Macaca fascicularis: one gene and its partner. The protein of the gene in region 1 purifies or fractionates together with the protein of each later gene. This does not show direct contact. Links are inferred from orthologs where the notes say so. Each region holds a gene or a part of one and is shown in the gene's direction. Other genes may lie near its edges.

What was found. The genes of interacting proteins can lie anywhere in the genome.
Region 2: the proteins of POLR2B (region 1) and POLR2M purify together in Homo sapiens (affinity purification with mass spectrometry; 3 studies listed by BioGRID and IntAct, counting the BioPlex papers as one, with this or other methods). This does not show direct contact. The link is inferred for Macaca fascicularis from reciprocal best matches to the Homo sapiens genes POLR2B and POLR2M.

The regions. Positions count from the first base shown.
Region 1 is NC_088379.1:76,866,571-76,870,226, reverse strand, and holds part of POLR2B (DNA-directed RNA polymerase II subunit RPB2), read left to right. Parts: intron 1-1,430; coding exon 1,431-1,574; intron 1,575-1,814; coding exon 1,815-1,954; intron 1,955-2,056; coding exon 2,057-2,168; intron 2,169-3,656. UniProt on the Homo sapiens protein: Catalytic core component of RNA polymerase II (Pol II), a DNA-dependent RNA polymerase which synthesizes mRNA precursors and many functional non-coding RNAs using the four ribonucleoside triphosphates as substrates.
Region 2 is NC_088381.1:34,173,199-34,176,477, forward strand, and holds the end of POLR2M (protein GRINL1A), read left to right. Parts: intron 1-1,457; coding exon 1,458-1,601; 3' UTR 1,602-2,733; downstream 2,734-3,279.

The DNA.
Region 1 (3,656 bases):
ACTCATGAAGAGGAGTGACGTGGTCATTTTTGTTCTTTCGGACAGATTCACAGTAATTGGCAGTGTGGAGAAAAGACTTGAGAAGGGCAAGGTTGGTGGCAGGAAGATTGTTGCAACAGCCTGGGGTGAGAAATAATTAGGGACTGGACTAGAGCAGTTTTATAGAGATGGAGAGTAAATTTTAGAAATATTTAGGAAGTAAGTTTCATAAGACTTTGTGATTGATTTCGTTGAACGGTTGAAAACTCCAATGAGTACAGAAAAGAGAATAGTTCTTCCTGGAGGTGGGTCAGATGGCTTTGTAGAGGTGGTATCATTTCACCAGGCAGAGCAGAGTGGAGAAGGGCATTTCATTCTGTGGCAATAGCATGGTCAAAGGCATGGAGGTGAGGGTGTGTGGTGATGTCAGTTGAGTACAGGAGTGTAAGGAGACTAAAGGGAAGGTCGTTTTTGGGGCTTCATTGAGGAGGACTTCAGTGTTGTGCTCTTCAGTAGCCAGTGGCTATCTGTTTAATTTTTAAGTGGGTAAGTGTTTAATAATTCTGGCAAGTGAGGAAGGTAGATTGGAGGGAACCAGGCAGGGATTGGAGGGAACCAGGCAGAGCTGATGGACGTAGTATAGATGAGGGGAAATGGGCTGGTCTATTACTGTGACATTGGGAAGGGAGGGGCTAGGTTTTTTAGAAAATTTGAAAATAGAATTGACAGGGTATGTTTATAGATGTGTGGAAGGAGGAACTTGTAGACAAAAATGATTTTGAGATTTCCAGATTGAGAGAAAGGTGATGCTGCTTATCCATGACAGAAGACTTAGGAAAGAGGAAGGAGGTTTGAGTTATTTAAGGACTAGGGGAAGATGGAGATTTATAAATAATTAATAATACAGAGCTTGAGTTGTCTGCTTTATGTTGCCCTAAATATTATCTTATTTATAAATAACATCTTGGTTAGTATCCTGTAAGTATTGGTAATGGATGTTTGCATTTTTCTATTAGATTCAGAGGCCTCAGTCTGGAAAAAGTAATGAGATGAATTAGTGATGTCTGCTATGATCAAAGGAGTGTGAGTTGGTAGAATTTAACTTAACACTTATTGAATATCTAATGAATGCCAAGTACTGTTTTAGGTGCTGGGATACAACAGAGAATAAAACAATTTTAAAAATTCCCTGCCTTCATGAAACTAATGTCCTAGTGTTTGTTTGGAGACCATACACAGAATGTTTATGTGGTATGTTAGAATGTATTTGCCATCCCTGCTGCAAGTGGCAGGTAAGTTAAGGTGTTAAACAACATTATTCAGGGAAAGAATAGAGAAATGGGGAACAGTTTGATACTCAGTAGATTATGTGTAAAACTTGACTTTGCCTCAGTGTAATACTATGAATCACAGAAATGTCCAGACTTTAAAGATTGGTTATTTTTTTCTAGGTATTAAACCGCCTGACTTTTGCATCTACTCTTTCTCACCTGCGTCGTTTAAATTCTCCTATTGGTAGAGATGGCAAGCTAGCAAAACCAAGACAGTTGCATAATACGTTGTGGGGGATGGTGTGTCCTGCCGAGACCCCAGAGGTAATACATTAGAATTTATATTCAGGACAAAAAGTCAGTGAGTAATTATGTAGGGCATAATTGCTTTTAGAAGTAGATGTTTAAAAAATTATGCAGAGTGGTTTAGAAATAAGATTTTTTTAATAATTGTATTCTTAGAAAGAATAAATCTTGAAATCACATTGAAGGAAAAATGTTTATGGAAAAGAAGTCTGATAGGCATGCAAAATCAGAATGACTAATACTTGGTTTATTTTTTAGGGCCATGCTGTAGGACTTGTGAAGAATTTAGCGTTGATGGCATATATTTCAGTTGGATCTCAACCATCTCCAATTCTGGAATTTTTAGAAGAATGGAGTATGGAAAACTTAGAAGAAATTTCTCCTGCAGCTATTGCTGAGTGTGTATAGATGGAATTAGCTTTTTAAACTGTGGTTAATCTTTAGTTGTTGCTTGGTATAGAATTGTTAAGCATAAAATGCTTTTGCTTTTTCTTTTGTAGTGCAACCAAGATTTTTGTTAATGGCTGCTGGGTTGGAATACATAAAGATCCTGAACAACTTATGAACACCCTAAGGAAATTGCGACGTCAGATGGACATCATTGTGTCTGAAGTAAGAATCTTTAGTTAAGAGGGTGTGGTCTGTGAGATTTTTAAACAAGGCATACGACTAGTGAAAGTTATCTTTGCATTGGCATCTTTTCTTTGAACTTTATTTCCTTGAACTGTAAAGTGTAAATTTAATTATAAGTTATTGCTAGGCCGGGCACAGTGGCTCATGCCTGTAATCCCAGCACTTTGGGAGGCTGAGGCAGGTAGATCACCTGAGGTCAGGAGTTCAAGCACAGCCTGGCCAATATGGTGAAACCTCATCTCTACTAAAAATACAACAATTAGTCAGGCATGGTGGCACGGGCCTGTAATCGCAGCTACTGGGGAGGCTGAGACAGGAGAATCACTTGAACCCAGGAGGTGGGGGTTACAGTGAGGTGAGATCGCACCACTGTACTCCAGCCTGGGTGACAGAGTGGGACTCTGTCTCAAAAAATAAAAAAAAGCCTGGGCATGGTGGCTTATGCCTGTAATCCCAGCACTTTGGGAGGCTGAGGAGGGCGGATCACAAGGTCAAGAGATTGAGACCATTCTGGCCAACATGGTGAAACCCCGTCTCTACTGAAAATACAAAAATTAGCTGGGCGTGGTCATGCGCACCTATAGTCCCAGCTACTCAGGAAGCTGAAGCAGGAGAATTGCTTGAACCCAGGAGGCGGAGGTTGCAGTGAGCCAAGGTCACGCCACTGCACTCCAGCCTGGCCACAGAGCGAGACTCTGTCTCAAAAAAAAAAAAACATTGCTTGCCTTAATCTTTGGATACATGCTTCCAAAAATTTTGACACATTTTAAATTATTAAATTATATTTTAGAACTCAAATTATATTTTAAAGTAAAAATTCTTTTGGGGATCTTTTTATAAAGCTGAGAATACTTTTAAAAAGGGAATAAGCATCTGGGATTTATCCTTTGAATTCAGAGATTCATTAATAAAATGTGATATACCGCTAATAGATTCTTTTATATTTTGGAGGATTTTGGAGGATATTGAAGTGCTTTGGGATTAGGATGGGTTTTTAAAAAATCATTATAATAAGGCCGGGCCTAGTAGCTCATGCCTGTAATCCCAGCACTTTGGGAGGCCGAGGCAGGCGGATTACTTGAGGTCAGGAGTTCAAGACCAGCCTGGCCAACATGGTGAAACCATGTCTCTGCTAAAAATAAAAAAAATCAACCAGGCATGGTGGCATGCACCTGTAGTCCCAGCTACTCGGGAAGCTGAGGCATGAGAATTGCTTGAACCTGGGAGGCAGAGGCTGCAATGAGCAGAGATTGCTCTGTTACACTCCAGCCTGGGTGACAGAGCAAGACTCTGTCTCCAAAAATAAAAATAAAATAATAATTTAAAAAAAATCATTACAGGCCGGGCGGGGTGGCTCAAGCCTGTAATCCCAGCACTTTGGGAGGCTGAGATGGGCGGATCACGAGGTCGGGAGATCGAGACCATCCTGGCTAACACAATGAAACCCCGTCTCTACTAAAAATACAA
Region 2 (3,279 bases), on another chromosome or scaffold:
CTTTTGGCAACTTAATCAATTTTGCATAGCACTTTGTTTCCATGTGTTTTGCATTGAACTTTAAACTTGTATGTTGAGAGTTTGTATACAGAGTAATGGGATGGGAGAAAATAAGTGTGAAGCACCACAGGGGAATAGAAAAGTTTAGAAGTATTTAGTAACAATTTTAGCCTCCAGGAGAACAGTATCCTGTCTCACTTCCTAGGTGTTGCTTAGCTAGATTTTAGTCAGGTACTAGTGTACCAGCCAGTATCACACCAGGCTGTTCAGGAGTTCGAGACCAGCCTGGGAAACATAGCTAGACTCCATCTTTACCAAAAAATTAGCCGGGCATTGTGGCATGCAACTGTGGTCCCAGCTACCCGTGAGACTGAGGTGGGAGGATTGCTTGAGCCCAGGAGGTCGAGGCTGCAGTGAGCTGCAGTCGCACCACTGCACTCTGTATAGTCTGGGTGACAGAGTGAGACCCTGTCTCAAAAAAAACCCAGCAAAACAGGCTGTTAATCTGCCTTGGCTTTTCATAAAAGCCTTGGCATGGATTGGCATTTTCAAGGTGCTCTTTTTCAAAAAACCCATATTTCTTTCTCTCAGTGCATTAAAATTACTGCCTAGTTATGACCGTAGCATTGAGGAAGTATTTATTGTCTCTGGGCTCTTAAATGCCCATCCTAAGATATTTTTAGGTTGAATTAAACCCTTTATCTTTAAATTGGTTTTCTTGGCAGAGGTAATAGCTCCCACTTTTACTTACCCATATTCATGGCTTGAAGAGGAAGACATCAAGAAACTCAAGAAAGCATGAGAAAAGGGAAGAACAGAATTAGGAATGACATTGCCACCTACCATGAGTTGGTGGTGAAGTCCTTAGCAGTTTTTAAGTACTTTGCCAGTGTCTGAAATTTACTTGGACTTTTTATTAGATATTAGTTGCTGTAGGACTTTATTTGGAGAGGAATAGTCAGCTTTTTAGTATTAATTTCTTAATTTTCATTTTGCCATTGAAATGTAATTCCCAAGTCCAGAAGTCATGATTTTTATTAGGGAAGAAGGTTCTGTCAGTTGTAGAAATCTAGACAATATTAATCATTTTTGACATTTGATAGGTCACATTGTTATGTGAGCGTGTATACATGTACATGTGCCCACATATTTAATGCATCTGCATTTATAACTGTTGTTGTGCTAAGCTGATTACTCAGTTTCTTATATAGAGGAATGTATTTCAATGCAATGTTGTATATTAATGGAGGTCAGTAACTTCAACTGTAGCAGGCTGGTGGCTGTCAGAAGCATTACCCAGTTGTGTCTGATAGGGCACAGCCAACAGGCTTGTATTGCCCAAGGGAGCACTCGGTGAGGTGTCAGTACCCCTCATATCGCTGATTCTAGATAACTTCCCATTGAAAAATTGAAGAGATGTGAATGTGTAACTTTTTGCTTTGCTCTTTGTTTTAAAGGAGATGCAAGCAAAGCTCGCAGCGCAAAAATTAGCTGAAAGACTGAATATTAAAATGCGGAGTTATAATCCAGAAGGGGAGTCTTCAGGGAGATACCGAGAAGTAAGGGATGAAGATGACGATTGGTCCTCTGATGAATTCTGAAGATAATCTCCTAAATCACTGACGTTGAGGTGTCATCATCTTACATTAGACTTTCTAACTAGTATCAAGATCAGTGTCAGATATTGTTGAGGAAGTAATTTTATAAAGTTACACAAAGGTAGTTATTAAAAAAAATCCCAGTTTGTCTTTCAGAAGATGACTTTCATGTGCTTGAAAAGTTTAATTTTTGAATATTGTGTTTAACCACATGGTATTAAAATTTTGCAATATATTGTGTATTGGTCTGATATTTTAGTATATAGTAGAACATACTTTTTTTCTTTAAGCCAAATGAAAAGAGAGAACTTTGCTTTTTTCCTTATTCTTAACTATCAAATAGCATTTATTACATGTCTTTCAGTGAAATACTTAGTTCCAGGCACCCAAAATCAATTAGGAAGACATAGTTCCCTTCTCTTTTGGGTAATGAAGGGAGCAGTCTAAAGAATTGTATGCATGTTTGCATGGGGTTATTGAGACATTGGATGTGAAATACTTAGGAAGACATGCATGGAGAATGCTTAACAAATGCTCTTCTCCTTTTTCTGTCTTCCCTTAGGAAGAATGTTCTCTCTCTTCTGATTAGGAAGGAATTCCCTTTTGAGTAGATGCTGGAAGGTGGAAGTTTTTTTTTTTGTTTGTTTGTTTGGTTTGGGTTTTTTTTTTTTTTTAGAGTCTTGCTCTGTCGCCCAGGCTGGAGTGCAATGGGGCACTATCTTGGCTCACTGCAATCTAGGTGGAGGTCTTTTTAAATAACCTCATGTTACTTCAGGCAAATCTGGTACAGGAAAAGTCCAGGCTAACTGAGCTAGGTGAAGGCTTGTGCATCACCTGGCTTGAGTTCCTTGCTGTCACAGATGATAGGTTCATGTACAGAACATTAATGTTTGGTAAGGAAAGCATTTTTTTTGTTATTGTTGTTACAATTGTCAGTACTTTACTTTTTTCCCCCCAAAGAGGCAGATATAGACTGCAGAAACTTCAGTCTCATATATAAATGTTCATGTCATTTTAGAGGATTATATGGTTGTCTCCAGAGAAATTAACTTACATTATCAAAAAATTCTTTGTCTAATGTATTGGAGTCTTTAAAAGTGTTGAAGAATAAAATATTAATTAGAACAACTTCAAATGCTAATGGTGATGTTTTACTGGGACTTAATTAAATACTTTTACTTTTGAAAAAGACTATTCACATTTGCTTCCAGGTGTAGTTATTGCTTTCAGTCCTCACCCACCTCAAGCAAATGTGAAAAGTATACTGACCTAAGAGTCTCATTAGTTTTAGTTCTTAAAACTAATAGTAAATGATTTTGCAGCATAAAATTTGATGTTATTTGTGGAAAGCTGGATGATATGGAAGAGTTCATGTGCCTGCACACACAGTTCCCTGTAATCCTGCCACCTAGGGAGATAACCTCTGTTAACATTTTGATGTTGTGGTTTTACTTATTTTTCTAATCATAGTTATACATTTATTTTCTCAAAAATGCAATCATAATGTACATTGCTTTGTGGTCTGCTCTATGTATTGTCAACATTTTCCCATATTAAGTATCTTGCTTTTTAGATAGCTGTAGGATATTTTATTTCATGGATATACCATAACTTTAAGACTGATTCCCTATTCAGCAATTTGATTATTTATTATAATGTAATCTGTAAATAGTGATGTGAT